2 linked regions of the Arabidopsis thaliana genome follow. The protein of the gene in region 2 interacts with the protein of the main gene of each other region in a pairwise test. Each region holds a gene or a part of one and is shown on either strand. Other genes may lie near its edges.

Region 1 (17,513 bases), on a different chromosome or scaffold from region 2:
GTCGATCCCAACCTCTCTCGACCTGCCTGCACCAACATTCAAACACAAGAAAACCTATCTTTAGTCTTTACACTTGAGAGTTTGTTTTACTGTTACTTAACTGGTGTCTGCCTTTCGAGTTGGTCAATAAAAGATTCATAGTTGTGCTCTCTTTACTAAGATTTTCCTACTTTTTTATTTAACATCATGTTAAACAAAACAAAAAAGTAGACTTTGAAGTGTAAGTGACTTTGCTGGTAAAAAAAAAGGTTAAGAAGTGCGTGAGCTTATAAAGAAAAAGAGAATACTTGGCAAATATGTGTGGAGCCAATGTTGCCTTCTCCGTCTTCAGACTTGAACAGTAGAGGCAGCCAAAACATCTCCTTTTTAGTCTTTATACTCTGATTTGAGGACCCAAAACGATCTATTTTGATCCTTCTCAAGCGTGGCAATCTCTTTCAAGAGATTCTTAAACAACTGCTTGTCATTAAAAGAAACTATGTCCCTGAAATGGTTGACGATGCTGGTCGTGTCTGCACTTCCACCTTTTTGCTGTACAAAGCTGCATATCTTTCGGATCAGGACCTCGGGCTGCAACGAACCTACTCTGCTGCTTGAACCCGAAGAAGAAGGGAATGAAGACTGTGGCTGCTCAAGCCCAACGCCAATGGCTTGTTCTCTGCTTCCGCGGATTCTGTTGAGAAGCTCTGCGGAAGATGGTGCTTTGCCTGAAGATAGACCCGCACTGATTCCATTCTTAATCGCTGATGGTTTGTCTCCAGTCTGGGTTAACCGGGAATTGACAGTTGATCCAAATCTCCTCCGTACAGATGATGGTGCACCTGCACAACCAGATCTTCCCGTCCATGTAGGCACTGAGATGCTTTCGCGGCTACGCAGCATTCGTGATTGGCGCAATGCTTCCGCAGCTCTTTGTGCCACTTGAGATGCTTGGTGTTCAAGTCTCATCTTCTCTTCCTCGTCGTTTGCATTCATTATGGCGTCGTGATTCACAGCACTCTGTGTTAAAAATTGTAAGAGAGTGAAGGGAATTGGAAATTATGGGAAAGTAAGTCGGAGAAGAACCTTCAATGAGCACTTATTAATGTACTTACATGTATTCCATGCGCATCAAAGAGACTCTTTAAGATATTTGTCTCTTCATCCATGGCTTCACCAGTTTTATCAGTCATTTCCACATCTGTTTGCTCTGAGGATCCCTCTGCAGTTTTGTGAAGAGCAAGTTGTGTATCGGATTCAGGTTTTTTATCTGATTGAACTCCTACGATGTTTATCTCTTCCGCCAGCTGACTGAAGATGTTAGAGGTTTCCGTGGAGGCGTTGCTATCGCCATCATCTTTCAGGATGAAAAGATCTTTCATATCCCGAGCTTTGAAGAATCTTCTCTGTTGTGGATTCTTCAAGATCTTATTGGTGAGAAAATGTTTATAAATCTGTCTATGATATACCTTCTCCTCAATTGTGCCACGAGTGATCAATCTGTAAACGGTAACATCCTTCTTCTGCCCAATACGCCATGCACGTTCCCTTGCCTGCCCAAAAAAGCAGAAAATTGATTGTTATTTATGGCCACGACGGGTTTTTTGCACACTGAATCTGTGACATTCAAAGTAAAACGTACCTGCATATCATTTGAGGGGTTCCAATCCGGGTCAAAGATAATGACCCTGTTCGCACCAGTCAAATTTGTTCCCAAACCACCAACCTTCGTCGTCAGAACGAAAACAAACATGTCTTCTGAATTATTAAACTCATCAATTAAAGCCATTCTCTGTTTCACTGGAGTAAGACCATCCATCCTCCGGTAACTATACTCATTTGCAACCAAGAAGCTCTCGAGGATGTCAAGCATTTGCTGAGTCTGTGAAAACAGAAGTACACGGTGTCCTTGCTGTTTCCAGACCTTGAGCACTTCTGCAACAACCTTCATCTTCCCACTGCGTTCTGGGTTTCCATAATCTGGGTTCTGGTGAGAATGTTCTCTCTCAAGTAGATCAGGGTGGTTGCATATCTTACGCATCACATCAATCCCATAAAGCGAATTCCTGTTGCCATCAAAAATCTGTTCTACTTCGGAGCTTGCAAGGAATGCCCTGTAGGTAGATCGCTGCTCCACAGTGAGACTGCAAAAGAGAACGTGTTCAGTCTTTTTTGTAAGATGTGCGTTTACATCGGCCTTCATACGGCGGAGGAGGTACGGCATAATCAAATCACGGAGAACAACAGCACACCTGCACATTGTCAAGAATTCTTTAGAGCACAAACTGTGATGAGTTAACTAAGTGATTCAAAAGAAAGACCAGGTAATTTACCTATAGGCAGTCGACACTTGTAAAGGAGAAGCATTGGCATAACCACCCACAGTTATGGGAACAGAAAATTCTGCCTCAAACACAGGCAGGACCCCCAGTTTTCCCGGGAAAACAAAATCGAACAAGGACCAGAGTTCTGTTAGTTTATTCTGGATTGGTGCCCCAGTCATAATAATTCGATGGACGGTCTGTAACTGTTTGCACACCAAAGTAATGTCAGAATTTGGGTTCCGGATCCGATGGCCTTCGTCCAGTACTGCATAACCCCACTCAATATTGAGCAGCTTCTCACCCTGCAACCTCAATTGCTCATATGTGGTGATGAGGAGCCCTGACTCAGAATTTAGAACCCGGTTTAACAAAGAATCCCACTTCTTGGTGTTCTTAGACTTTGGCTCATGATCACTATCAACGGAACTCTCACTGTCGTAATCACTTTCAGAGGCCTTGCCTTGACCTTTGCCGTGCCCAGAATCTTGTGCTGAGTCATGGAGTATTTCCACGTGAAAATCTGGGTACCATTTCTGTGCTTCTCTTCTCCATTGACGCAAGAGTGTAACAGGACATATGATAATACTCGGTTTGTACATCTTACTGAAATGCAAGGATCCGAGAAAAGATAAGACCTGTATAGTTTTACCAAGACCCATCTCGTCCCCGATAATGCCACCAGCCCTTTGGCAATGAAGTTCCCAAAGCCATTGCACCCCAACTCTTTGGTAGTCAAAAAGTTTACGAAAGATGCATTCAGGAATGTTTAATCCACCTTCAAGCTGTACAGAAGATCTTTCGTTGTCATCTGCATCATCAAAATCATCTAGCTCTTCTTCCTCGCAACTGGAAGTGGTCAAGATTCTCCTTCCATCTCCTGAAACATTGCAACAAGAATCAACATCATAACTTGTTGGTTTACATAAACTCAAGTGAGGGAAAAAAAAGAATTTGCTTAACATTGGTAGAAACTGTTGAGACTTATCACTTAAAAGCATTGCATTGATAACATGTGATATCTCAACATCGGGAAGATCCAATATCACAGCCTTATCTTTTCAAAAGCATTCGCTCCAATTAATAGCCATGAAATTCAATCAAAGGGCCCAAACAGCAATCTGTAAATACAAATAATTGTCAATAGCATCAGTCATACCACTTCCTTGAAGACTAGAGTCTTCACGAGAGATTCGCTTTCTCCATTTCTTTTCAGGCAAAGGCCGCGTCTTTTTGCTCTTCTTCCCAGCTTTACGTTTCTTTGCTTCATTATCCGGAGAATTAGGAGTCTTGTAAAGCTTTCTCAGCCTTCTAAAAGGAGCAGTGGGCGGTTCAAGCTTTGGCAAGTCTTCTGCATCAAGTAGCTTGGTTGTGGGACGAGCCTTTGCAGCCAGCGACATAGATTGGACAGCTCTATCAATAATGCTGGAGTCCTCATTTTCGTCGTCTCCTTCAGGTAGGTTGCGTGAGTTTGACGGTCCAGGTTGTTGAAGTCGGCGTTCAAAACCATCGAGCTTGTGAAATGGAGTTAAAATTCCTTTTCTCACCAGTTCATCTCTTTCCTAGACAAGAACACCCTTGAAATTAGTCACTGTCTTTCATATATGCATTTTACATACCCACAGATAAAGAGCATAATCCCACAGGAATCAGGTCAAATATATAAAACCTTTAGAAGATAACTGGACGTACCGTTTCAACAAAACCAGCTGAAGCTCCATCAAAAACAGCATCAAAATCTGTGTCCTCACGAAAGGAGACTACTTTCACCTTCTTCCCATCTCTTCTGCTTGGTTTCCGAATCTCTTTCAATTTTCTCTTAAGACTAGGCTTCTCCTTCACCAAATCTCGCAGTAGATTACCGTGATCAGCACTACTAGACGCACTCTGACCATGAAGACCAGTAAGTTCCTTTTCAAGTTGAATTTTTCTCTTCTTAAGACTTCTTAGCCGGTCTGTGGCAAGGGCATGCTGAAGAGCAGAACCACTATGCAACCCTTGTAAATCTGATTCATCATCTTTCTTTAAGCCCTTTTCTGCTGCAATCTCGTCGACGTTCTCAACAGTTGATGCAACAGCATCTATTTCAAACTTTACAGCCCTCAATTTATTCAAAAGCTCGTTTTGGCTAGATGAAAGCAGATTGGTTCCTTCAAGCTGTGTAGACTTCTCCTCCACACTCCCACCCTCATCGTTGTCTGGTTTCTTCGTCGCCTGACAAAGAGATAAACACATTTAGAGTTCAAGCTAGTTTTCATAAATTACTAACCCTTTCATAGAATCAACAATGCAGCACTAATACCAAACGAATGAGCAAATATTTACCTCATCGAGTATCTTCTGTTCTAGATCTTCAGGATTGGCCGATGTCACACCTAAGCTACTCAACAAAAACTGATCCTCGTCTTCCTCCATTGAATCAAGCTGAGTCGGTGGTGTTTGTTGAATAATTTCAATTCCACAGCTCCGCCAGAATCTTCAAAATCTTCCTTCTCCTTCAAACAACAAACGATACATCTCTTTTAAGAATTTCGTCGAACAGATTGTATGCAATCGTAAGGACTTGTATATTCCTAGAATTCTCAAAATAAATTCGCGAAATAAGTTCAATTTTTCCTATTTCAAACATTGTTTTCTCTTGATTGACGGAGAAAATCTCAAGATGCTTACGAATTCCAGATAAAATCGACTAGGAATCATAAAACCCCATGAGAATTTTTAGGTCAGAAATTTTAAAACTCACTGCTCGGCGATGGGCGAAACTGGTTTCGTCAAAGATGAAAGAATTGTTGTGGAAGATTAGAGAAATAGGTTCTTTTAATTTATATATACGCTTTTTAAAATTAAAAGAAATAGTGTATTTCTATTTTACCAATTTATTAATTAAATACTAAATATTTCTAAACAAGTGTATTATCAAACATACCCAAAAAATAACAAAACCCAAAGGAACACAACATAAAAGACATTATGCAATAGAAACTACATCAGGTTTCTGGGTTCATGAAAACTAGTCAAGTAGAGCGATTACATATAATACGCACAAACAAACAAGAAGAGAAGAAGAAAGCTCCCTGTACAAGAAATACAAAGCTCCACGAGAAGAAGAAACCAAAACAAAAGACTTCTTTTTCTGGGAAACTGTTAAAAACCCATCATCACAATGAAAACCCTCAGATTCTCTGTTTCTTCCTTCTTCTTCAACCTATTCGTCATCTTCATCAAGTTGAACAATCTGAGCCCGTCTCTGAGCAGCTTTCCTTCTGATGAAGAAGCCCCATCTCATGGCTGCTTTGATCTTTAGCCATCCTACAACAGCCTTGCCCGAGTTTGAACGGTCTTCTTCGTAATCAGCCATTGACGTCTGACCAAAAGAATGGAACCCAAAACTATCTTCTCCCATGTTCAATGGAGTTTGCTGGTCACCACCATTCATGCTAAACAGTCTCAACAGTTGCTGCATATCGTCGTTCTCGAGCATTTCGTTACTTCTAGCCCTAATCTCTTCCTCTGATAAAAACCCATCAACTCCTCTGTTGCATGTATTTGACCAATCATTGTAAGAGTTAATCTCAGGAGGAGGATGAACAAGTTGTTCTTGGTTTTGAGATCCTGTTGCTGGACCCAGTGCCAATCTCACACCACCGTTGCTATTGATCATGCTTTGTGATTCATGAGTGTTGTTAACTAGCTGGTCTTGCGGTGCAAATGAAGAGTTTCCAAAGTGCATGTATGTAGTATCAGCTAGCTGAGATTGACCCGGGAAACTTGAAGCCGGACTCTGGTTGTATGCTGAAAAACCCAATGAATGACTGTTAAATTCGGTTCACACCAAAACTTAAAAAGATTCGACATTTGTGGACTGAACCTCTACCTTCAACAGTTACGTCTGAATAAGATGTAGATGGTTGGCTTGGAACTGAAACTGGCATAGAGTAATCAATATCATCTGTTTTGCTAACTTGATTGAAGTTCATAAGTGACTTGCTGTCATACTCAATAACCTGTTCCCAGTTTTCATAGGCTTTCCTCACCAGTCCATCGACGTAACCCTGCATCATATATATAACCTTTTACTATTTTCCGAGTATATGATAGAAGAATCAAATCTGTATCTATAAGAAGCAAGAAGACCCAACAAACATACCTTTTGATTGTCAGAAAGAGAATCAGCAGGATAATACTGCTTTCCTGATATAAGACCACTAAACTCGTATATATTGTTGAAAACAACACCAACTGAGTCCTCGGGATAGTAGACGTAAAGCATTTCACTCAATACACATGTCTTGGAATGCTCTGCAAGTGTCTCCCACATCCTGTTTGACATGCCACTTCCAAGAATCTGAAAATCAGAGTAAGAGTCATCATGATGAATAATAATATTTGAACATCTTGGTAAGATACTGGATAGTTAAATCGTGCACTCACAGTCCTTAGTTTCTGAGAGTCTTTGACCATAAGACGCAGGAATTCTTTAACATTGTAGATTCCTGCTTTATTGAGTTTCTTATGGAAAGCCCCGTCCTTTCCAATCTTTTCCAACCTCCAGACCTCATCATCCAAAGCAGGTGGGTAATGTTTCTTGTACACTGTAGGAAAAAAAAACATTAGGCAAAAGAAAAACAAAGATTCAGATACATCAATGACTAATATCAAAGGAAAGCAAGAACTTACACTCTCCACGATGGTCCTTCACGGTAAAAGCTTCTGTTTTTGCCTCGCGTACACGCATTCCCTCACAGTAACCCGAAGAGACCCTTAAACCCAGCCTGAATTTTCTGCATCTAATCCAACTTGAGTTGTCCGTAAAGATAAGTTCCCCTAATGTTCCCACACCTTCTTTCAACGTGACCTGCACATCACCAGTCAAGAGAGGCCTCTTCCCTTGACGTTCTTTCACCAAATGACCCTCAAACTCTTCTCCACTCCAACCATCATCATCTTCAGTGTTAAAATCACCATCAAGCACAACAACATCAAGCTTTGCAGAAGCTTCAGGTCCTACTGTCAAAACATGTCCAGTTGTCATATCCAACAGTACAACATGGATTGCAGCACCTTGCTCCCCTTCTATCTTCCCTCCAGTAAACAAAGGAACAGACAATCTAGACCTGAATTGTAGCTGCAAATTCCTTCCACCGATACCTTCAATTCGTTTTGGAGACGACCTGTGAACTCAAGCATTAGAAGAAAACCACAAATACTCCAACCATTAATTTTATCTCTTTTTAAAACAGTCATATGTTACCTTTCACTAAGTCTTGCAGGGCCAAGCTTTGCCAATGCCCGCTCCACCTCTTCACTTACCTGTTTGACAATGCTCACAAAACAAATCAGTAAGCCAAAGAAACAACACAAAGCACCAAAAGACATGTAAACAATTCTTATTAAGCTAACCACTCGGCGAAGAATCGGTTCCAAAGAAGAACAAAGCCTCTGTAAACTATCCATCTTCAAGGCTTCCACAATTACACTGCAATAACACATACACAACTTTCTCAAATCCACAGACAATCAATATACATAACAACCCTTTTTTCATTCATACAACTACAAATCAATTACAGATTCAACAACGCCATAATCAATAATCAGAAAAATTACAAGCATCAACACAAATTACCTTGCAAGAGCTGGCCTTTTACGCTCAGGCTGTTGCTGCTGCTGCTGATTATCATCTTCCTCCAATTTTCTCTTCTCTCTCATACTATTAGTCCTCTCCATATACCTCGTCTGCATTTTTTACGCTGCTAGAAGCTCTGATCTATAAGATCGAAGCAAGTAAAAAACTTCACCAACCCAGAGAAAGAATCACAAATCCAGCTCTCAAACTAAAAAAAAAATCAAAACTTTACCACAAACAAATCAAACCCAGAAGCTAAGCAAGATTTTATGAATTCTACTTAAAAGCTTCTTCAAACAAACGGAAAGAGAAACCTGAAAATTCGATTCGAAGGAGAGAGAAAAATACCTCAAAAATGGTGTTTTGGATAGAAGAAAAAGAGAGAGAGATAAAATGAAAAGATCAAAAATTAATTTACTTGAAACACTTGTCTAGTTTTGTGATTAGTCGAGTACTTTGACTAGTTTTAGTAATTAAAGATAGTTATCGGGTGCGGACAAGATCACAGTAGGCTTGGATTGCCGTCACTTTTGCTTTTCGTTTATTGGACGACATTCTTGGGCCGGCGGCTAGTGTATGTATTTTTGGCACATGCTATATTCTAAAGTTGATAATTAAATAATAATACTTTGTTGTATAAAGTCCAATTATTTGTTATTAAAAAAAGACTTTAATAGTAAAAATACATTCATTTCACCAATAGCAAGATTAGGGATAAGATTCAACAATCAACATGGATATAAAAACATCTAATTGCAATGAAAAGTTAATGTTCACATAGATTTCTGTATTTTTATGTTAACTTTAACAGATTATATTCTGATTGGTCTATTAGTATAATTAAACTTTCAATCTACTTGAGCCCTGAGAATGGCCAACTCGGTCAGTTCACCAAACAAACAAAAATGATACAATTTTTTTTATAATCAAAATCAATTGGTTTTACTTTTTTAAGGTTTGAAATTTAAACAGAGGTTAAAAAGTTGCAACAAAGATCAGCCAAATTACATAACACTAGATTTAACCAAAAGGGACCAAATCTCTTTTTTGAAGTTTTAACCAACCAATCCACTAGATTCGATCAAGCTCCTTTGTCACTCACTACATTGCAATATATTATACGACATTGAAGAAAAGAAGGTATCGTCAAGTACCAATTAAGCTGAGGAAGAACTCAACAGATATTTAACATAAGCTTGAAGGTCATCGAAGAGAGTTGTTTGAGACAGACATCACTTTCCCCTGTTAACATAGAAAGGATTTTGTTTCAATCTTTTGTTATGTGACAAATCAAGCTGCTATACATCATAAAGAGAGAAGACAGAGTAGAGATTGTGTTACTTACGTGTTCATCATCAGAGTTATGTTGTCTCCTTTGAGTAAAATCCTTCCTGAAAATAGGTATTAACACGAGTTATCAAACCATAAGCAGACAGATCTGAGACTTGTTATCAAAGAGTGAGTTCAGGATAACTCACCAAGTGGTTTCCTGGTGTTCTTCTTGATGCTCACTTCTTCAGCCTCATCCAAAACTAGATTCATGTATTCGTCAAAACCCTGCAAAGGACGACGGATAAGCAAGGTTTGATGGATTCTCCTAGAAGAATCAATAATACACCCAAATTCAAGTAGACAAAAATCTAAGTTTAAAACCGAGTAGAGTGACACTATCACAAATATCATGTTCCTCCATACATATAATCAACCTCAGAAAAGCTAGGATCTTAACTCGAGGAACAACAAAAGTCAAGTAGACTGCAACATGGAACAACAAAAGTCAAGTAGACAACTCAAACCTTTAAGCCAATGAGAATGACACCATCACAAAATCTCAAGTTTCTCCAAATTATCATAGAATCAAACTAAGAAAAGCTTGAATGCTTGAATCATAACTCGAAAATCATAGAGGACATACAACTACAAGCATAGCAACAAACTGAAACAAGTAACACCCAAAGCCAAGTAGGCTGTAGGAGACAATAAGTTTTAAGCCGAAGAGAATGACACAATCATACTCAACCTAAGAACAGCTAGCTAATCAAACTAGTTTCTATTGGCAGGCTCTTATCAGTTCTTTGTGCAGTAGTAGTAACAGTGACAACTATCCCTTTTCAATTCACAACAAATGCAACAGTTCAAACACAGACTAAATTAGAGAGATAGTCACACTGCTAATGCATTTCAAACTCTCCTAAAGTTAGCATAACCCTCGAATGTCCTATAAACAAAGCCAGGAATCTAATCAATTCATGATAACGGAGCTTCAACATCAACTTACAGTGATTCTTCCTTCAATCCTCAAATCTTTCTGCTCAAATAGCCAAATCTGGATCCTAGCTTTCTGCATCACAAACACAAAAGACCAGGGAACAAATCAGTAGACGAACTACTAATAACCTAAAACCTCAGAGAGCAAATCAGAAGAAATTGAACAACTTACACTTTGAAGAAACCTAAAAATCAAGTTCTGGAGCCGCCGCCACCGGAAAACAAAAAGCAAGATACAAAATTAGGTTTCGATAGAAACAATAAAGAGATGGAACAAAGGAATCGAAGAAGAAACGTACGATAGGTTGGGTCATAATCCTTTGAACTTTGGTGCTCGCCATGGCTAACGTAGTTGGAAATCTCTCTCAAGCTTTCGAAAATTCTCTCTCAGAGGAAATCTAAAACCCTAAAAAGCGTTTGTCCCTCTGCTAATACGCTTTTTTCAACATTTTTCTTAAACTTAGTTCTCTCGGTCCTCATAAAACTTCAGAATGTTATTTCAGCCCATAACTAATTAATGTGATCATTTGGCCCAAATACTCTTTTCCAAGACCTAGAATTTTTTAGCGTAGGTTTTTAACTTTTTTTTTTTTTTTTTCAGAGAAAGATTTATTTTTAATATACTGAGGCTCAGTGTTACAACATAAAAGGCTCAAGACAGTCTACATATGAGGTCCACAACAGACTTTTACGTCACAAAAAAGAGATAAGCTTAAGACGTGTCAGACCAATAATAATAAGCTAAGGACACGTGAATCTTCCACAACCTCCACCGGATGAGACTCAAGTCTGGTGAATCGGAGAACCATCGCCGGGAAAGCACCGAGCAATGAAACTCTTTTTTTCTATCACCGATTATGGCAATTAGATGTTATAGAACAAACATCAATTTCCTAATCTCATATGGTTGCTAGAATCACAAATAATTCATCAAAACGGGTAAAGAAATTAAAAAAATTGAGTAGTTCAAACTTGTCCAACCATTGAATCTTCGAACTCTCTTGCAAAAGCACTAAAGGCATATCAAATTTGCATAGGATAGAAGCTTTAACCCAATCTTAGGCGAAAATAAAATTGAAACTGTCTTAAATATGGTAGATCCAAACGAGGGTAATTGCTGGAAACGCACACATCGCCGAAAAACTACCAGAGCCAAAAGCATAACCCAATAGTGAAGCTAAACAAAACAGAAGGAGAATAGATCTTGTAAAGAGAAACCCTCTTCAGATCTGACGATTCTGCATGCCATAAAGCTTCATCATCAAACCTTTGAAGTAACAAAACAAAAACAAAGATGACCAACGCTGTTAGTGTAAGCCCAACGCTGCCGTACGGAAGCTGGCCAACGTCGCTAAGTTAGCCAACGATGCCATACAAAAAGCCAACCATCTCCACTAACGTAGCTAGAAGATGTCGGACGAAAGCCCGAATTAAACGGGACGGCGACTCACCGGAAAACTATCCGGTTAACAAAAACAAAAGAAATTTCAGTTTCTATCTTTACAAACTACGAGAGAGCGAAGAGAGAAAAACTTTTTTGTGTGGTTTATTAACTTAGGTTTTTAATTTTTTATTATTCTGGTAAAAATATACGACTAATAATGATAATTATTAAAAATATTCTTACTTAGAAATTGGTGTCGATGATAAATTGGTTCTCAGTCGAACTAGTGTTAAAATAAATAAAAATATGACAAAGAATCACATCTATGTGCTCAATGCTAGAATTACAAAGATTGAAGAGAGATTGAAATTTGACCAAATATTATCTTCCCACATTCTTATAAATAAACAAACTTCATTCCTCACAACACAAAAATGTACAAAACCAACAATAAGCAGAAATTAAAAAGAGAAAAATGGTCACAATCTCAGATTTAAAAGAAAAGAAGACTAAAAAGCTTAGGCTATATCTATGACTAACTGAATCAAATCCAAATACAAAACAATTAGCTTTGTACAAAGAATCCAGCTTTGAATCTCAATCATTCATTATTTATCATCAGAGATTGATAAGGAACCTTCTTGATCTCCACAAATGTTGAGTACTCAGTGCTCATTGGTTGCTTCCATGGCTCACCATCCATTTGCAAGAATGCGTCTCTCCAGTCACCTCCTCTTAGCTCAAATCTTACCGCAGCAGCCTGAAATGATCACCAAAATGAAACAGTCAAACACATGGCTAAAAAGATTATACATTGACCAGTGTCTTTTGAAGTTACCTGAGCTATGTGCTTGGCAGAGATGAGCTCAGCCATGACAAATGACGCGTGCCATCCTTGCTTAAAACCGAAAATCTCTATCAAACCATCATCACAATGTGCTTCCACAAAGCCTCTCTGAGAAAAACCAAAGAAAACATTCGGGTTAACATCAGAGAACTGAGTTCATATATGATGAAATGGAACAGAAACAATACCTTCTCTAGATAGTCCGGTTTTAGATTGCCCCAAGGATGGCTTCCACTTCCATAGCTGTGAAGATTCAATGCGACAATTGATCTCACACTACAAGAGAAATCCATAGCATCAGGTTTTAAGCATTGATATCAAAGATTGTAATACATAAATCATATATCGAAAACTGTTTTTTACTTTTTCGGGACTGCGATCTCTTCCCACTGAGAGCAGTTAACCTTTTTGATGTGAATTTTCATTATGTTCCTAAGTCCCCTGCAAATTCATATAGCACAAACAAGGGGTCAACAACACAACAAAGGGCTTAAGCAGAGACTTACACACAAGTTCAACTACACAATAAGAGTCGAAATGGCGAACCTTAAACCTGGATCGTTGACACAAGGCGTGCAAAACCAACCCTGACTGCAACCAAAACTTGAATATATAATCTGCAAAAGCAAACATTGTGTGGTTGGTAATGTCGTTTCTCAAAACCAACATAACTACTTTAGCTTTTAACAAAGACAAATAATGAGTCCAAAGTTTAGGTGCAAATATAATAAACAAACCTTATTTGAAATAGGGCCTTGAGCAAGATATGGTTTAGTGTTGCGAAGATGGTGGAAGCCATATGCAACTTGAGCATCCATACCTAAACAAACCAGACAAACACAAGAATCTGGTCAGAAAAACAATTGTGAAAATTGTTTAGGATATCAAAAAGAGAAGTTCAACAAACCTATGCTTAAGTAATTGTAGAAAACACCTTCATAAGCCTTTGCAAGTGGAGGCGCATCAATTCCCGCGTCCAAACCCTGAAACCACCATAAAGCCTGGTTAATTACTAAACCGTGGCAATTTACAAAATCACATGCTGATGATTCAATGAGAAGAAGCAAGCCTAATGAAATAGAGCAAAACCTGATCAAGTTCGTTTTCTTCAGCGGGTTTTAAAGAATAAGGAGGATCTACGACTTCTCCAGATGGCATTGACACTAAAATCTTCCAGCTGCAACACCACATAACCAAAGCGCATACATTTTTACAACAAGAGAAATACAATAAAAGCTAAATGTTTTGAGCAAAATAAGACTTTTACCTGTCAAGTCTAGCAACTGGACCCATACTTGCGCGATGGAGTGTTCTTTTAACAGCAGATCTCCACGCAAAAGGAAACGAACCACCCTGAAGAAGAGATACCATAGTCAGTACCAATTCAAAAGTTTTGTCACGACAACATAAGAGAGAACAAAGAAAACACAACTCACCCAACCAAAACTCCTTGAAAGATCATTCCCTGTACCGAGAGGAATAACTCCAACAGGAGGAATTTGCGACTTTCCATCTTTATTAAGCTCTCCAAGACATCCAAGAACCCAACCAACAGTACCATCACCTCCTGCAACCTATCCAACCAATTCCATTCACAATTCTGATTGCTAAAAACATTCAAGTGGATCTATAGAGATTGGAGAAAAATATGGTCAATACACTCACCATAATCCTCAACCTTGCTCTGCATTCTTTTGCACATTCATCTCCTTCCGCTGCCACTTTCTCCAAACACCCCAACCCGTATCGAACAAACTCATGCGGCTTCACTTCCGTGAGGTCAAACACCTGTATCAACACAAAAGTCACCATGAAGTTTCAATATCAAAAGCTCAAACCAATAACTTGACAACATCAACATCACTCAGCTTTCCAAAAGACTCAATCTTTAAACGTAACTCATCCTTCAAAGTTCCAACAAAACACTAGATCTAACATCAGCTAAGCATAAACATATAAATCAAGCATTAAAAACTTAAAAGCCAGAGACTTTAAGAAAGTTTCCAAACTAACATAATCAAAACACAAAGTAGATACAAATTAGATTCGAAATTCCCCCAAAAACCCAAAGAAAAAGATTTGAAATACAAGTTCAGTGAGAGCAAAACCTGTTCCTCGCTCATCAACTGTTGAAGCCTCTCTTTAAGAACAGGACCATGACGACCACCAGAATTGGGGTTAATGAAAACAACCATAGGAGCATGAGGAGCCATATCAGCAACAGCACCACCAGGAAGAAGTAAATGATCAGGAATAGCCGAGGAATCTTTGCGTTTGATACAGTCACGCATAGCGAGACGAAGATACTCAGGCATCATCAACCTCTGACGAAGCTCTACTTTATCTACACCAACCCATGCCAGATTCGCGAGTCCACAACCTCTCATCGTCTTTGAATCAGCCGTTGATGGTCGTGAAGCCACGAATTTCTCTTTCGATGCATCGGTTTTTGATACCGGAGAGTCCATTGTAGTCTCTCGCCGGAGAAGAAAAGACAAAAAGATGATTACTTTTCGTCCTGTGATTGGAGAAAATGAGGAATATTCGAAACCCAGATAATCAAAATTGGAGTTGAAATGAAAAATAATAAAGGATTGTTTTTTTTTAATCTTTCTTCTTCTTCTTTGCTGAGAGATTTCAAATCAACCAATATAAAATCTTCTTTTGACAGTTTGTATTTTCTTGTCTGTTTTGTCTTTTTTATAAATGATTTAGTTTCGAAGACAGCGCACAAAACGTGTGAATTAATTTGCTTATATTGAAAAAAAAAGAATTTACACGGTTGGATTTCAATGTGACGTCATAAAAATGCCACTCTTTAGATCTTTGATTCTTTTTCTTTTTTTATTGTTTGACATTTATGAAAGCGACTGATAAATGTTTATTTTGTAAAAGTTCTAATTTAGAATAATTTTGATTATTAATAATATTAAACTACTAAGATTTGTATAGTTTAATACCATTATCTTCTGTAACTAAGATTTGTAGATCTTTTGTTTCTGTAAGATCAAATTTACAATTTAAAGTGTACAAAATCTTACAATACTAATGATGGCATAAAGAGATTAACAATGAGATTTTTTAACGTTATTGTTATATCAAGAAAACCAGAGAAAATTAATTAGTAATTGATTGATACATTGTAAGAATAGGATCTAATGATATTTTAATATTCAAAAAGGTTCCATTATAGAGGTTACATCTGGTGAATATGATTGAATACAATTTGATATAGAGAATTAGAGATACTTGCATTATTATTTGCTTCCTATTATTATTTGACTGCATTATTGGTTTCTTTTTCTATGTAAAAAATATTTTCAACTCTCCAACAAAGAAACAAAATTCTCTGACATTTTGCTTAGAAAGAGTGGCGTTTTCGTCATTAAACAAAGGAATAGTTTTGGTGGTAACGTAAATTGTAAAAAAACAGCGAAGGAGACAATAGAAAATGAGAGCAGACATTGAAGTTAGTGGATTTTCCACAGAATGGGGCCTACAATGTTATTGCCCACTCAGAGAAATAGGGTCACTGAAAGTGATAGCTACTTCCCATTGCTGGGATCGTTGTGTACTTTTTCTAACCTAAATTTCCCTCAATGCCTTTTTCTTAACTTATAGAATTGGTCGAAACTTGAAAGTATATACAAATGCCACAGAAAAAAACATCATTTAATACCTTCTTAATTGCACGATATGATATCAGATGTTTTGTAACCAAGAATTGGTCCATGTAAACAATTTATTATGTGGCAGAGGAAGACTCAAATTCAGGTGGCTGATAAAAAGTGGGGTTTAAGATATTTCTTGAACTGGAAGACAATGAGCGTGTGTTCTCATTAGTATTACAAATCATATTTACATTATTATAAAGCGGAACATATTTACATTATACTCCAAATGATGTAACTATAAAATTTGATCTAACAATATATATCGTTAAGAAAAATAACCTAAATTTATCACAGCTTATTCATTTACACTCCTATAGAATCATAGATTTCCTACTCTTTTTTTTTTGTCATCATATAAACATATACTACTTTTTGTTCAAGGATCAATGTTTCTTAGTTTGGTGAAAGATAGAAGTAAACTGGAGTGGGCCAATGGTTAGGCGTGTAAGCCCAAACTTTGGAACGATTTTAGCCCATCTCAAAAGGAGCGTGCTATATTTTGTAAATGAAATTGCAAAATTACCTAACACAAATTTTCCTATAAAAAAACATTTCGGGTAAGAAACCGACAATTATAAAATAAAAATTGTAAGACATGTTTTATTGACACATGGAAAAATGAAGTTGGCGAAAAAGACAAACAGTAAACGTTAAGATAAAACCCTACCTATAAATATACCTTACACGCCACCTGACTTTATCAAAACCAAAAACACAAACCTTCAACGGCACGCTTTCTCCTCTGAAATCTCTGCGAGCAAACTTCTTCATCTACCTCTTACCGTACTTCAGGTTTGTGTAAATCATTTTTATAAGAACTTCAGTGAAATAGATTAGCAACCCTAATTGAATTTAATCGAATCGTAACTATTGTGAACGGAACCCATCCATCTTGCATAAAAACCCTAGTTTCTGAACAGCCTTTCGAAACTTCTAGTGTTATTGTATTGGCTCTGATCAACGTTGTTCTAAAGTTGTGAACTTTGATTGATTGCAACAGAGTGTTTAAGATGAAATCTGTCGTAATGTCGAAGAACAAGGGCTTAGCTGAACAAGATCTAAGTAAACTTGATGTAGCTCAGCTGCATCCTCTCTCTCCTGAGGTCATCTCTCGTCAAGCCACCATTAACATAGGTATACACAAGTTTTTGTTTCATTGAGTTTTGATGCTGAAGAAACTGATCAGCCGTGCATTGAAAGCTAAAGATATGACTATGCTCTCTATATCTCAGGAACCATTGGCCATGTCGCTCACGGGAAATCGACAATCGTGAAAGCCGTTTCCGGTGTGCACACTGTCAAATTCAAGAGTGAATTGGAGCGTAACATTACCATTAAACTTGGTTACGCAAACGCAAAGATTTACAAATGTGAAAAATGCCCTAGACCAGTAGCCTACAAGTGAATTCTTGCT
Region 2 (15,111 bases):
TTTTCATATTAACCAACGGATAGTCCTCAGCAACTAAATCAGAGTAGGCTAGGGAAAGCAGATTTGGAGTATCAAAAGAAACGCTCTTTGGATTTTTAGAGGTTCTGGAACCGGTGGAGCTAAGAAGTAGCTGATTAGTGAGGGTTGCACACGACACGGTTACATGAGAATCAATCCACTCCATACCTACCAACCGTAATTCCTCAATCACAGGGAAACAAGGAAGAAGCTTCTGAAGCTTATCATCACAAAAAACCATCGCAGAGCTTATATCAAGACTTTGAAGCCTTGGTAAGAAAGTGCCTTCAGCTCCAGGCCACCAATGAATACAACCAAATTCAGATTTTAACCTGAGATTGACGAGTGTCTCACTGACGAACAACTCTCGAGGCAGAAGATAACCATCTTCGAAGTCGATGATAAGTTCAAGGTCCGCAACACCACGCTGCAGCACTTTACATAACCAACGATTCAGACGAGCTGGAGGAACACCGCTTTCACACCTGAGGGAGAACCTACGAATGGGACCATTTCCCTGCAAAGACAATACTCTTTCCACAAAATCCAAGAAGCTATCCAGAATTTCTTCTCTTTCCCACTTAGTCTCTTCCGGATGAAGATACTCAGAGTCATCCAAGTCGAGATTAGGGACAAGCGTGAACAGATTCCGCCACTTCTTAGACAGAACAGATGTCAAAGCAGACTCCTTTGTGGTAAGGAAGGACAGTATATGACAACGAACATCGTCTGGTAAACTGCTCACTAGATCCATCTTCTCGCTAAGCAAATCAAAACAGTTCCACTGGTACTACAGCGGTTGATTCAAACCTAACACTTATGACTTAACAACAACAACAACAACGCGAGTAGGAAATTGATTTTGAGGCTGTGACACCGAAAACACCAACAACATTGAAAATGCAAATTTTCGCACAACTCTTAACACTACAAATTAGGGCAACTCCTCAATGAGTCGAAGAAGAGAGGGACGGAGTGCGTAATTTAGGGGAATTTGGAGATATTTTGTCAATTAAAATATTGATATAATTTTAAGTCTTAACGATTAATCACTTAGATAAATTAATAACACCAAAACAGAGCAGCGAAATATACAGGTTACACCCTAAATATATTTCAATCCCACAAGGCTGCTAATTTTAGTTTACTTACATAACAACTGTTGATGCATATTCCCAAAGACTAAACACCAATCCAAATCCACTAAGAAAAACAAAACACATCTCACAAGTGAATGAGCTCATTGTTTTTAGACGATTTCTGCTTCTTCTGATCATTTCCAGAGGCAGATGAAGAATGACCCAAACTATTCTCACCAAATATTATCTCATCCAGATCATTCATCATCATCTCATCGCTGCTGCTTCCGCGAGAGTCTTTAGGTTTAGTAGCAACAAGAATCATATGGCTGGCTCTGTTGCAGCTAATTAGAAGAGACTGAAAATAGATATATGCTCATTGAGCTTATTAGAAGAGACTGAAAATGCAAAATAGCTCAATGAGCTTTATTGAAATGTAAAGAAGAGAGAAAGGTGAAAGCTTTAGGTTGTCTTCAAGAGCAAAATAGATTTGGATTTGATTTCATACAATAGAGAAGAGAGAAATAGCTAACAAGAGAGAAACTGATTCCAGGTCCAAACTAGAGAAAAATGAACTCAAAATAGATCAGATCAAATAGTAGTACCATCAAAGAAGAAGAATAAATAGAGTATACCTTGGAGAAGATTACTGCCTGCCATTTCTGATAAAGGACGATTCCTCTGTCTCTGTGGTATGTGGATATGTGATGAATGAATGACGCAAACAAGAATTATGGAGAGAGAGAAAGGAAGAAGAAGAAGAAGATTTTGTGTTTATAAAATGGTTTTGACATTCCCCGAAGATGTTAAGGACATATGAACTGCTCGGACCAAGATAACTCCAGATCATCTTCAGGGTCTCAGATCCATCTTCTCGCTAAGCAAATCAACAGTTCCACTGGTACTAGAGCGATTGATTCAAACCTAACACTTATGACTTAAGAACAACAACGCGAGTAGGAAACTGATTTTGAGACTGTGACACAGAGGTTTTAATTGAGAAGAAAAATAATCTACGAGGAGGTCAATGCCGTACGACAAGTGAGAAGACGCGTTAACTTTAAAGGAATATTTGGACTCTTTCTTTTTTTTTTATCTCCATGGCATGAAGAAACCACGAGTCTTGGATTTGTTGGTTTCAACTTTTTTTATACAAAAACAATTTCCTTTGCTTTATGAAAAAAAACAATAATAAGGAAAGTAAATATGATTTCGAAAATGCCAGAAAGTAATTGTTTTTAAAAATGAAAATGGGCCGTTCAACATCTCAAAGGCCCAAATTTTGCCGATATAAAAAAGATTGGGAACAACACTTTTAAACATATTAAGGAGAGACCTATTCGTGTGGCCAAACACCAGAATATCGCCAAAATCGTTGAAACTTGAACGAAGAAACAGACTTGTCACAGCTCAGCCGCCGGAAGACTTTAAGGTAACGAATCTTCCATTAACCGTCCCTCGTAGATTTATTTCTACAATTGATAATGCTTATTAGTTTGTTGTCTACTTAAATTCCCTATTGGTGAAACCCCAGAATCGTCAAGTAGCTTTTTTATCGATTCAATAGCTCCAACACAGCTTTTGTATGTTTAAAACTAGCTTATGTTTTTTACTTGATTCCGAGAGAAACAAGTACTAATGCACTAGTTTCTTAATTCACTTTTAGATTCCCAAAATTTGTTACTATGTTATTTTCTTATCAGAACACTGATTTTAGTTACCACATTGATTCAACATTGTTTGAGTTAATGATAGTTGTGAATTTTGTTTGCTAATTCTTGTAGGAGGTATGGATTTGGTGTGGTTATTAAGTGTTTTACTTGTTGGAGCTGCACTTGGATATTACATCAGCACTTTACGACAAACCCGCCGAATCTTTCTCTCCTCCAAATCTGTCGCCATAGATGCAGGATCCAGCGGGAATAAGAAAACCAAGTCCAAGGAACCCCTCGAGATAGAGAAACTCGCTGATTTTCGCAAAAATTTCAAAATGGTACCTAGCCTCACTCTGCCTCCTTGTCTTTGTATTGCACCAAGATACCAGTAGCTGATATAAATGCTTCTTGTTGTTGTTGTTGTTGTCTGTGTAGGTTTTGGTTGTGAGGAATGATCTTAAAATGGGTAAAGGGAAGATTGCAGCTCAATGCAGGTGATTATCAATCCTCTTTCAGTTTTCAATTGCATTTCTTGAATTCAATTAACAACTCCTTTTCTCTTGTTTTGCATATTATATGTAGTCATGCAACTTTAGGTTTATACAAGAAACTCCTTCAACGGGCGCCAAAAGCCTTGAACAGGTAGGTATGCGGTATGCCACACCATCTCATACTCTACTTCAATTCTATGTTTCTTTTTCAGGCTACGGATGGAATTAACAGTTACTTATTGCTCTTGCAGATGGGAATATTGTGCTCAGCCAAAAGTTGTTGTCAAAATTGAAAGTGAGGAAGAGATGCTAGTTTTGCAAGTGAGTTTACTGAACATGTGCTACGTAAATATACTTGCCCTTTGCAAGATTGCAGTTTCCTAGGTATTGAATAAGAGAAGAAGAAAAAGTCATAAGATCCTCCTATGTGAAGAGTGTAACAATCTTGTTGATACCGACAGGAAAGAGCAAAGACCCTGAAACTGCCAACCCATATCACCATTGATGCGGGAAAAACACAGATCGCTCCAAGTGAGTTTCTATAGTTACTGTTATTTGGAATCCTCCTGCTTAACCCTAGTCTGACATTAATAGAAAAACTTAATATGCCTACTTGTTCTCTTCTTTTCCAGATTCAAGGACAGTAATGGCTATTCTTGGTAAGTTATTATCATCTATGAGAAGAGATGAGTTATATCACAAATTGTAGTTACAAGTGCAATTGTTTAATAAGTCTATTACTTGTGCAGGACCTGTTGATAATGTTGATGAAGTAACAGGTGGACTAAAGCTTATGTAATAACTCTTGGATTCGACATTACCAACACTCTGGCAGAAAGGAGAGCATGCTAATTGGCTCCCAAGTTTTCGACATTTCTCGGTGACAAATCTGTTTTCCCTTCTTCTGAGTAGATAACTCCATTTTACATGGATTTGTACAATTGTCTTACTAGAAGATAATCATATGACAACATTTGCTGATTATCCACAACATTTTAAAGATGAAGTTTTGATGCTCTCCTTTGTTTTGTCTATTGTATCTATAAACTGAAGCGTTTAAGCTACGAATTGATTTTGACTGATTTTGTCCTAAGGAGAGTCTAATTCCTGCGCAACAGCTAATCAAAATATACAGCATAAGTGTTTCACTTCTTGCTATAGTTAGTGGTCGTTTGCTAAAATAGTATTGATGTCACTGTATATCGTGCTACCAATTACTATATATTTCCGGGAATACTGCTTGTAATATCCATTTCAAATGTTTGTTTATTCTGAGTTCTAGCATTTAGCATAGTCAATGAATGCGTATACACTCAAAGATTGTTAGTTGTTAGCAACATGTGGGCTAAATCTATGTAACTCGTGCAGGACTGGTTGAAGAAGACATGTGGGCTAAATCTATGTAATAACTCTTGGATTCACAAATCATTTGACATATCTCGGTGACAAATTTGTTTTCCCTTCTCCTTAACCATTATTGGGGATCGTTTTCGAATTTACATGAATTTGTGCAATTGTCTTACTAGAAGATCATAATCATACGATATTTGCTGATTATCCCCCATACATATAAAGATAAAGAGTCAGTTTTGATGCTTTCTTTTGTTTTGCATATTGAGAGACCTTTATCTCCATAAACTAAAGTGGCTAAAGCGACGGGTGGAGAAGTGACTCACACGCATAGCAAAGTTTTCTTGCCCTAAAACCAACAATGATAGCTTTCTCTTCAAGCTATCAAAATTTCATCAAAGAATAATATGAAACAATAAATAACACACATTTTCCATGGAATCGCACCTACACACATATACTTCCAAATGTCTTTGATTTGAGGATGAAGCCAAAAAAACAAAACACAAGTATTTCAAACTATGTATATATATACCTTTCTTTCTTCAACCCCAAGCATTATCAAACGCAGCTGAAGTAATCGCTTGAACAAACTCTTGGAAATCAATACAACCATCGCCGTCTCGATCAGCTTCTTTGATCATTCCCGTTAACTCCTCCGCCGTCAACGCGTGACCTAGCTTCGCCATCGAATGGGCTAACTCCGCCGCCGTTATGTAACCGTTTCCATCGCGGTCAAACATTCTAAAGATGGCTTTAAGCTGATCATCCGTGTAAGGACACTTGACCAGATCTGGCTCGACGAGGGCGACGAACTCGGAGAACTCGACCAGTCCGTTGTTATTCCGATCTGCTTTCTGGATCAATGTGTCGAGTTGGTCTTGACTCGGCTTTAGACCGAGAGATCTTAGAAGTGAGCCTAACTCGAGCTCCGTCAAACTTCCATCCTTGTTCTGGTCAAATGATCGGAATATCTCCCGGAGCTCCGCTAGTTGTTCGTCGCCTAGTTTCGCCGGCGCCGGTTTGCCTCCGTCGCAGCTCATCTCGAATCTGATTTTGAATACTGTCAAGCTTCGATTTCGATGAACAACATTTTTCTTTTTAGAGTTGATTTGTTTCTTCTTGACAAGTCAACGATGACAGGTAATGGATTACAAATTTCAAACGAGTAAAGATTTTGATTTTCTTATTAATGAGCAAGAGAATAAAAATTTTATTTTATTTAAATCAAATAAATGATTGTGGATGGAATACGAAATTTTTTAAATTAAATTATTAATTGAACCAATTATTGGAACGGTCAAAGGTTGTTCGGTGGAGGGAAAACAGTCGTGCTAAGCGTTAATTCACCGGAACTGGTTTGTAGAAATGGATGCCAAAAGATTTCTTGACAATAGAAAAATGTTATAGCTTTGATTCGTATTTTAAAGAAGATAATATTTTCGACATTTGTTAGCTATATATGAATCGAGTGTTCGACATACGTTATATATTGCATGCATGAATGTTCAAATTTTCTTTCAGAGTAACTATTTTATCCTTAATATATGGTCTTTATCAATTCTTTTAACAAATTACATGTTTATTAATGTTCATATCCTCTTTTAAAGCAATATATCCATGAGATATCTGTGAAATTTATCATATGTAAAATATTTATATAGTTTTCAGAAATAGATATATATCATATAAGCTATATAAATTACAACTAATGGTAATATCATATGTAATGTTGTATGTAATGTTAAAAGCAAGTTTAAGATTGATACAAACGACAAATGGATCTGGTTCGGTTGCAGTTTCAGAGCTTAACATATGCATGTACATACACTTTGATTCCGTGTAATCAATGACTTGATCCTTTTAAACCACTTTGTTACTATATCCACACGACACACGTTCTTCCTTTTTACTCTCTCTTTAGATGATTTCCTTTAGACGAAATTGGAACATTAGTTTTACTCAAGAAACTAAAAGTGAAGGACTGATAAAAAAACACTAAAGCAGGTAAGATTTGGCCACAGGTTAACCAAAATGCCAATTTTTGCACTTAATGTAACAAAAATAAACAAGGATCTCTAAAGACATACACAAGAACAGAAGAATATCTCTCACTTTGAAGCATCTCCTTTTCATTCTGTCAGTAACAAACAAAGATATTGCAATGCAAAAATCTTTTAAGGCAATATTTCTCTTATTTTATTATACATTGACAAGAATTAGAGTTACAACAGTTTGATACATACATACATAGTACCTCCTTTGGTCATATTCTTTTTGTTGTTGCGGCTCCACAAAATCTTAACCCATCTGCGATAACAAGACAAAGACGAGGGGTTTGGTTTTGCACAAAATTTAAATTTTGGAAAGTGTGTGGTTTATAACATATCAATATAGATAGACTGATTACCTCGTGAGGAAAGATTGTGGCCTGTGGCAATCTCATTTTCTGAGAGCATCTGATGTGAGAAGTCCCATCTGTTCAGTAAGATGGTTCATTTGTTGATTCTTGCTCCACACATTACTCAGGGTTGATTGTAACTCTAGTTGCTCCAATATCAGTTCATTTTCCACTGATCCTGAGATTAACTCATCTGTCTCACCAATCACTGGGCTCTCACCAATGAACTGTTCCCAAAAAGAATCTTGGACTTCAGGAAGCAACTCATTTAAGGTATCAGCTTCTAGTTCGAGTGCGCCATCCAAAACAGCCATTATTGGATCCAAACACTCTCCATTATCTGTCTCGCATCCAACAAGATCCGAACTTGAGCTCCCAGAAGCTGCTGCTCCTTGCGTTGGAGGTAAGAGATCACCTTGAGAAAAAGGCAAATTGGTCTCCATGACTTGATTTGTTTCACAAGGCTCGTGGTACTTCATTGCAGGATAGAAGCCTGCAGGAATGGATGAAACATCTGCCAATGTAACTTCAGGTGATCCATTTGAGGAGCTCCCATTGTCTGAAATGTTAGAATTTGGAACATCGCCCAAAAGAAAGCTACCATTATTGCTTGAGAGAGATTCATGGCTAGGTGCATTACTCATCTGCTGTATCTGTTGAAGCATAGTGTTTGTTGCATCGTTCATCGATGACTGATATCTCACAATCTGGCGGCTAAGACCATTAACCCCATGACTGCCAGAATTCATCTGGTCCTCAACAGGTAGCCTCCTCTTTTTGTTGCTTTCAGAAATGTGTTGGTTTGCTTCATTACTCTGCTGAGAAAATTGGTTTAAGAAACCTGGACTTTGGACAGCCTTTGCTAGAAAGGACATCATCTGTTGCTGCCTCTGCTCCATCACATGAACTTTCTGCCCCACATTCTGCAGATGATGTTCGGTAACTTGTTGTTGCTGCCTCAACCTTACAAGTTCCTGCATAAGGACGTTCTTATCGCGCTGAAGTCTTTCCACTTCCTCTTCGAGTCCAAATTTGCCCACTTCAACGCACGCACCCACAGATGAGTGCTGAACTTGAGGTTGTTGTGGAGGCTGCACTTGTGCAGGTTTTCGCCGGACAATACTCTTTAGTATTTGCTTTTGGCCTCTTAAAAAGCCCTCGTTTGCAAACTCCCAGCGGTCTGGATCAACTTTTCTAAAACCCTGAAAAAAAGAAGCATGGAGAATGGAACAGTCATCAACCGCAAGAAGTTACTTGGATTCCGTTGCAATAGGAAGCCAACATAGAAGATTTGTATAAACATAAAGACCATTAAATACGTTAATAACAACTATTCTAGATATGGTATGATACGTTCACTGGGTCTAGCTGCAGCACCAAACTACCATGGTCCAAGGAAACTAATACAGTTGTTAGTGTATCGGCATGTACCTGGACGGACAAATACAAACGAATGGAAAGCTAACATGGGACAACTGATAGAAATTTTGTTTTGTGACTTAAGAGGCCAGAAATGGAAGTGCTGAATCAACCAATCGTCAGACACATATGAGCACATGTCCAAATAAGCCTGCAAAGTTCGTGGAACCTTTTGGTAAGTAAATAAGAACAGGGGAGGAACAAGCTACGCAAGAGTATACACTTGTTAGTTTTGCTTGACCTAAGAAAATTCATTCCAGCCTCACAGACACGGATGCAAGCTCAGATACTTAGAAAAACAAAAACATATATGCCTGCAGTTCACAGGGTATACATGTACAAAAAACAACTGAAGAACAATACAAATATGTGAAATTATCTTGCACGAGTTTGTCAGAACCCAAAAAGATCCAATCTTAACAGTTAGTGCAACTAAAATCAACATTAACACAACCTACTAGACGTGCATAGTTCAACCACCAGCGTCAACAACTATATAGGAACATCAATCAGTAGCATCATACTATACACTAAATAGGAGTCGACTTCTCAAAGCACCTTCTTGCAACCTTAAATCATTCGTGAGTTTTATCAATAACTAATGCTTAATTCAACCACAAAAAAAACAAGAGAGTAAAATAAAAATGAAGCACATAAAGTAAGATTCCCTAAAATCGAACTACGAAATTGAAGAAAATCGAATCAATGAAGAGAAAAACAAATAAAAAAGAATCGATCGAAGTTCACTCACATAAGTATTGAGCTGTCTGACGAAGCTGGAGAAATTGTTGTGCTTGAAATACTTTGGTAGAAACTGTTTGGCGAACTCAGGCACGTTCCAAACCACGAAGCTGTTGTTTCCGCTGCTCCAAGACACCACGTCGTCCGTCAATGGATCGTCAACCATATCGTACGTTTTGCTCAGAAAAGGCGGAATGGAGCTCATCACCGCCGTCGAAGATTTCGCCGTCGCTACAGATTCGCAAACCGTTCCCATAAATCAAAATCGCAATTGATTCCGGTGTACCGTCTTCTTCAACAATTCCGAGATTCACTACTCCGGTCTTCGCAAACCTTACAGAGATTTATATTCGAAGATCATCTCTTAGCGACGAAGAGAAGAAGAAAGAAGCTCTCTCTCTCTCTGTCTACACTTATATTAAACTCTGGAGATAGCTTTTACCTCTGCTCTTTTATTTATACACTCTGATTTTTTTAATTCCAGAAAGCGGTGGAGTTTCGCAGAGTGATATAACGTGTCGTAATCTCTACCGTTGATCTGATTACCTCTGCAACGTCCGATTATTAAATTAAAAAATTAGTTTTGTTGTTAAGATAAGAAATACCACGTGGGCTGGACTAACGTGCTTGGCCTTTTTAAAAAAACATTAATTAACGTACGTACCTGGTCTTTTTCTGATTAACGTATCTGGTCCTAAGCTCTTTTTTTCATACGTGGCACTGGACTCGCGTTACTTTTCTCAATTTTTTCCATTTGCGTTTCACGTTTTTTTTTGGATAATTTTCTGCTACTCAAAGTTTTGTTGTTACGAAAACGTTGAGTCTCTCTCTCTCTGCTTGCCGCCGAGACGGCCAATAATTTTTTTTTTAAGACAATATTTATAAATCTGAAATAAACATCGATCCAGATTTGTGGATTATAGAAATCTTATCAAATTTTATAAGATTATTTCTTTCTATGATATCTAACGGCTCATCATGTAAGACTAATCTAAATTTGTAACGAAGAAAAGTGGAAAACACATAACAAGTGTATTGGCCCGCCTAATCGAGTTAATAGGGCAAGGAAATTCTCCTTTACTGCCTAACTCTTCTCCAGTTTGATTTTTATTTTTTGTTGTGGAGGGGAATATTTTAAGGTTCTCTTACCATAGTACAGACTTATAACGAATAATAATAAAAAGCAGATTATGAATCGAAAGTACGAATTTTTTCAAATCCATTTTTTTCAGATAGAAAAAACAGTACGAATTTTTATTGTTAAAAATGGTTATATTATTGAAAATGGAACAATTTTTCATTTAAGAGAATCGAATATTCCATTCATAAATAGTACATTAGTACTCTCCTTCTAAAAGAGGCACGTGATTGGTTGTCGCAAAGCACACGAGCCAAGATGCTTCACTTGGAACGAGAAAAAGCCCCAAGAGACAGAGGAGAGGGCAAAGCAAGCAAGCACCTTTTTCTTTCCCATGCTCGAAACTCGGTTCTTGATTGATTCCTTCGCCGAAGATTAACCAATCAAATCCAAACAAACCCACTCAGATCCAGATTCGTTAAATCTATCCGGATCCATTTACTTCAACGGGTCGGATCCAGTGATCTGGCACTTCACAATGGGAAGTGGCTTTTCTGGTTCTTCGGATACCAAACAATGTCGCGATTTCCTCGAAGATTCATAGATGATTCATCAATGGAAGATGCAGGAATCTCTCTTTGCCCAAGTATTCACTATAGACCTATAAACCCTAATGATCTAGATCGTTTGGAGCAAATCCATCGCGATATCTTCCCCATCAAGTATGCATCCATCTACTTGGATTTTCCTATGTTGGTGTCTTGTGAAAAGATTTCTAAAGTATTGATTTTTGTTTTGTCAGGTATGAGTCTGAGTTTTTCCAGAGTGTTGTGAACGGAGTTGATATCGTCTCATGGGCTGCTGTTGATCGGAGCCGGCCTGATGATCACTCTGATGAACTTATTGGTTTTGTTACTGCCAAATTTGTGCTTGCCAAAGATAGCGAGGTTAGTTTTCATTCTATGAATTCGTCTTTTTGTAATTCGAACAATAATGATCTTTCAGGTCCTGTAATCACCTTGAATGTTGAACTAGTTCATAATGCTTATGGTTTTTGGTTCGTCTGTGATCATGTACACTAAATAAAAGTTATTTCACTTGTCAAAAATCTTTAGAACAGCGGCTTGTAATAATGTCTGAATTATGATTGAATAATCTGTTTTGGGAGCTCTGGTAATGCAATTGAGTCTAGTGTTGTTTTTATCTTCTTATTATCTATCTTCATCAGCTGGCAGATGGTTTCTGTGTCTTGCACAGATAGATGATCTTATACATTACGATTCCTCGAAAGGAGAGGAGACTTTGATATACATCTTGACACTCGGAGTTGTAGAAACATACAGAAACCGTGGAATCGGTACATGACTCTTATAATACTAATAAGTATCTGAAACATGTTCTATATATTGCTTGGTTTTATAATTTCTGATGTTTCTGCAACTTTTTTTAACTCTCAGCAATGTCACTTATTAGTGAGGTAATTAAATATGCTTCCGGTTTATCTGTGTGTCGCGGAGTTTACCTTCATGTGATTGCACACAACAATGCTGCGATCTGTTTGTACAAAAGATTGATGTTCAGATGCGTGCGGAGATTACATGGATTTTATCTAATCAATCGACATCATTTTGATGCGTTCTTGTTTGTCTACTTCATCAACGGTTCTCGAACTCCTTGCTCACCCTTGTAAGGAGATTTACTCACAGACAAAACAAGTCTTTGATTCTCTTGTACTCTATAATGGTTTACAACAATTTACTGTAATTTGCAGAGAGGTGGCGATGTTTGTTGTGAATTATATGAAGAGTGGTATCAAGTCAGTGGCATCTAAGCTGGCTAACAAGGATGAGAAAGGTTTGAAATGGCTGTTTTGCAAAGACACGGATTGTGTCTAACCCTCGCAAACCAAACCGAAGCTAGGGTCATCATCAGCGTACGAATTCATTTAACTTAAAACTATATTTCCCATTCATTTGATTTCTCATTGTGAACTCTGTAATGAAAAGGTAAATAGTCACCGTTAATGTACTGTTTTTTGGGTTTTATACGCTGATCATTACGTGTTTATAAGGTGTAAGGAAGTTCTTATGAGTTTTTCACCACCCTTCTTAAAATAGTTAGCTTGGTTGAAAATAGCTCTTTTGCTTCATTGGCAATTATCCAAAAACAAAATCACCAGCTTAGGATGTCAAAAAATAGGTTAAACGATAATTTTATTTACTTCCCTCAAAAAAGCCTGAGAAAATCCCCATCAAAGGCCAAAAGAACAGAAAAAAGTTTTTTTCACGCGGTGGCAATGGCAATGGCGTCTGCTTCTTCCTCCTCCTCCTCCATATCCGTCATCATTTTCCTCCTCTTGGCGCCTCTCTGCCTTTCACGTGAGCCACCTTCACAAATCCCAAACGGAACCCTAGATCTCTCTTTACTATGGTACGGCCAATTCACGCCTACTCAAAAGGAGAGGGTTCACGATTTCATAGAATCGCTTAACTTCGACGCCAAGGAAGGTCTTGACCCGAAGGTATCGGCGTGGTGGAAAGTGGTGGAGAGTTACCAAGAGAGGTTTGAGGTGAAGGATATTTACCGACAGAAGAAGAGTAACAGAACCGTAGCTCCGAGGATTAAGGTGAAGGTTGTCCGGAGTTATGTGGATGAGAAGATGAAGTATGGAAAGGAATTGACAATGGGGAACGGTGAGAAACTTGTTGAGACGGCTATCGGAAATATGTCGAAAGTGGTTCCCGTGGTATTACTTTCGGCGCAAGTTAGGGCTCATGGCGTAGGGTTTTGTGACGGAACTTGCCAACATAACGCCCTAGCCAAAATTAAAGGTTTGATTTTCTCTTCGTTTTTTTTTTCCGTCTACATCTCTCAGATTTAAACCTGGATTAATATGGCACCGTGAGAGATCGACACTAGTACAATAAATATATTTTAAGTATGTCTTGATTTTCTCCTCGTTAAATTGCATAACATTAATCTATTTTACCCTTGAGAAAAAGATTATTGGTTCTACATAATTTTGTAGCTTTTTTAGTTTGTTCTAAAAGATTGTAGTATTAGACAACAAACAAAAGAAAAATTTGACGTCATTACGTAAATCCCACGCAGGTCAAAAAGAACCACGACGGTACATAATGGTAAGCAACCCGGAGGTGGAATGTCCCGGAGAGTGCGCTTGGCCTTTCCACACGGCCGATAAGGGTCCACGTGGCATGACCTATCAACCGGCAAGTGGAGAAGTCGGAGCTGACGCACTGGTTATTCAGCTAGCCACCGGTTTAGCCGATTTGGCCACCAATCCAGATCTAACCAAGTCCTTATTCAAATCTGAGACGACACCGTACAACGATGACGTAAAGAAAAACCATGAATCTTCGTCAATGTATATTGTGGACCCTGCAACCAAGTGCACTCGGGTTTTTGGATCCGGAGCTTTTCCAGGTTTCACTGGTAGAATTCGGGTTGACCCGATTACTGGTGGAGCCTTTAATTCACACGGAATCAACCACTTGAAATTCTTGATTCCTTCTATTTGGGACCCTAAGACCAAATCTTGCTGGACTCCTATGTAAACCGTTATTATTACGACATGTTACACAGTTTTTACCCTTCATGAACTTTTAAGGTTGTTTTGTTATTGGAAATATTCAATATACTTGGAAATACTTCATGAACTTCTAGTTCCAAGTCTTCATGAACTAGACTTTGAACGATCCTCGTGTAAATTAAATTCTGTGAGAAAGAAAATCCATGATTTAGCAGATAATACTACAGTATTTGACAACAACAACAACAAAATGTTGATAAGTAAGAAAATAAAGCTCGAAGATTTGTAACTATTCATGATTTTAGAAAATCGGAATAATGAATAGTGTACTTATTTGGACACTGAATAAGAAGTTACACAAGTCCCGATTGAAATTTAATTTACTAATGATCGTTACAAAATTATTTGTCTCTTTGTCATCAATCCTGTTAGTGAATATTAGAATTATTATTCATTGTAAACAAATAGGATCATCCAGATTGAGAAGTAAATAATTTTATGTATGTTACAAATGAAATAATTAATTGATCGTAAAACCTCTCTGACCTTATATATATCGAGTCTCACTATTCAACTTTTTCATTGCACTTGTCGTACAAAGGAGTAAACATTGATATGGGAAAGGTATGTGCATTCCTGTCTTTGGTAATTCCAGTAATTTGTTAAGTAAATTATGTGAACTTATATTTTGTGTTTTGGATTTGGTTCTAAAGAACAAGCAAAATGGAGAATCAGACAACAAGTCTGAAAAGAAGAACCAGAAAAATGGAGATTCATCAGTCGATAAGTCTGATAAGAAAAATCAATGTAAAGAAATTGTTCTGAAGGTTTACATGCACTGTGAAGGATGTGCATCACAAGTTTCTCATTGCTTGAGGGGCTATGATGGTAATACTCTATTAAAAGAAACATTATTAGATTACTTTCCCTCTTTAATGGAATCATATATATATGGTCTCGATCATAAGAATCAATGTCAAATATTTAATCATTTATCATTGAGTGAAATTGTACTATAATTTAACTTAAGCATTATCTAGTCTGGTTTCAGTTTTATTTTTCTTTCCTGTAATCTAGAGAAGTTGTCTATTAATTCCCACAATGACATAACGAATAGTAATCTCTAGTTCTTAAAGCATCAATTAAAAAATAGGATTACCGTTTTTTTCTTCTTACTCATGACTCATAAGTAGCTATTATCTTATTTGTCTTATAGGGGTTGAGCATATTAAGACAGAGATAGGAGACAATAAAGTTGTTGTGTCTGGAAAATTTGATGATCCGTTGAAGATATTACGAAGAGTGCAAAAGAAATTTAGTAGAAATGCT

What was found.
Region 1: the proteins of AT3G03000 (region 2) and AT2G18750 interact in a two-hybrid assay, tested with the Arabidopsis thaliana proteins (one study listed by BioGRID).

Annotation. Positions count from the first base shown.
Region 1 is NC_003071.7:8,116,356-8,133,868, reverse strand, and holds AT2G18750 (Calmodulin-binding protein), read right to left. Parts: upstream 8,742-17,513; 5' UTR 8,275-8,741; exon of another isoform or gene 8,068-8,274; 5' UTR 8,043-8,067; coding exon 7,927-8,042; intron 7,777-7,926; coding exon 7,701-7,776; intron 7,611-7,700; coding exon 7,552-7,610; intron 7,472-7,551; coding exon 6,978-7,471; intron 6,893-6,977; coding exon 6,732-6,892; intron 6,646-6,731; coding exon 6,448-6,645; intron 6,353-6,447; coding exon 6,175-6,352; intron 6,093-6,174; coding exon 5,506-6,092; 3' UTR 5,167-5,505; downstream 1-5,166. Other genes in the region: CHR8 (chromatin remodeling 8), read right to left, coding at 367-999, 1,095-1,532, 1,622-2,231, 2,313-3,357, 3,460-3,862, 3,993-4,514, 4,626-4,715; AT2G18740 (Small nuclear ribonucleoprotein family protein), read right to left, coding at 9,159-9,168, 9,272-9,317, 9,405-9,483, 10,205-10,267, 10,367-10,393, 10,494-10,535; DGK3 (diacylglycerol kinase 3), read right to left, coding at 12,180-12,338, 12,417-12,533, 12,614-12,701, 12,789-12,866, 12,972-13,042, 13,163-13,245, 13,333-13,408, 13,515-13,602 and 4 more; AT2G18721 (uncharacterized protein), read right to left, coding at 16,763-16,870; AT2G18720 (Translation elongation factor EF1A/initiation factor IF2gamma family protein), read left to right, coding at 17,110-17,233, 17,332-17,500. UniProt on the Arabidopsis thaliana protein: Transcription activator that binds DNA in a sequence-specific manner, likely 5'-GAAATTTTGG-3', to promote the expression of target genes.
Region 2 is NC_003074.8:667,913-683,023, reverse strand, and holds AT3G03000 (EF hand calcium-binding protein family), read right to left. Parts: upstream 5,785-15,111; 5' UTR 5,637-5,784; coding exon 5,139-5,636; 3' UTR 4,844-5,138; downstream 1-4,843. Other genes in the region: AT3G03030 (F-box/RNI-like superfamily protein), read right to left, coding at 1-772; AT3G03020 (uncharacterized protein), read right to left, coding at 1,744-1,947; AT3G03010 (Peptidyl-tRNA hydrolase II (PTH2) family protein), read left to right, coding at 2,887-3,090, 3,188-3,246, 3,335-3,394, 3,495-3,564, 3,705-3,774, 3,876-3,902, 3,993-4,042; HSFA1E (heat shock transcription factor A1E), read right to left, coding at 7,036-8,196, 9,165-9,410; MCC1 (MEIOTIC CONTROL OF CROSSOVERS1), read left to right, coding at 10,809-10,954, 11,035-11,179, 11,490-11,589, 11,690-11,918, 12,004-12,127; EXL6 (EXORDIUM like 6), read left to right, coding at 12,529-13,063, 13,344-13,807; AT3G02975 (uncharacterized protein), read right to left, coding at 13,498-13,799, 13,843-13,849; AT3G02960 (Heavy metal transport/detoxification superfamily protein), read left to right, coding at 14,398-14,406, 14,496-14,670, 14,999-15,111. UniProt on the Arabidopsis thaliana protein: Potential calcium sensor that modulates ion selectivity of NHX1.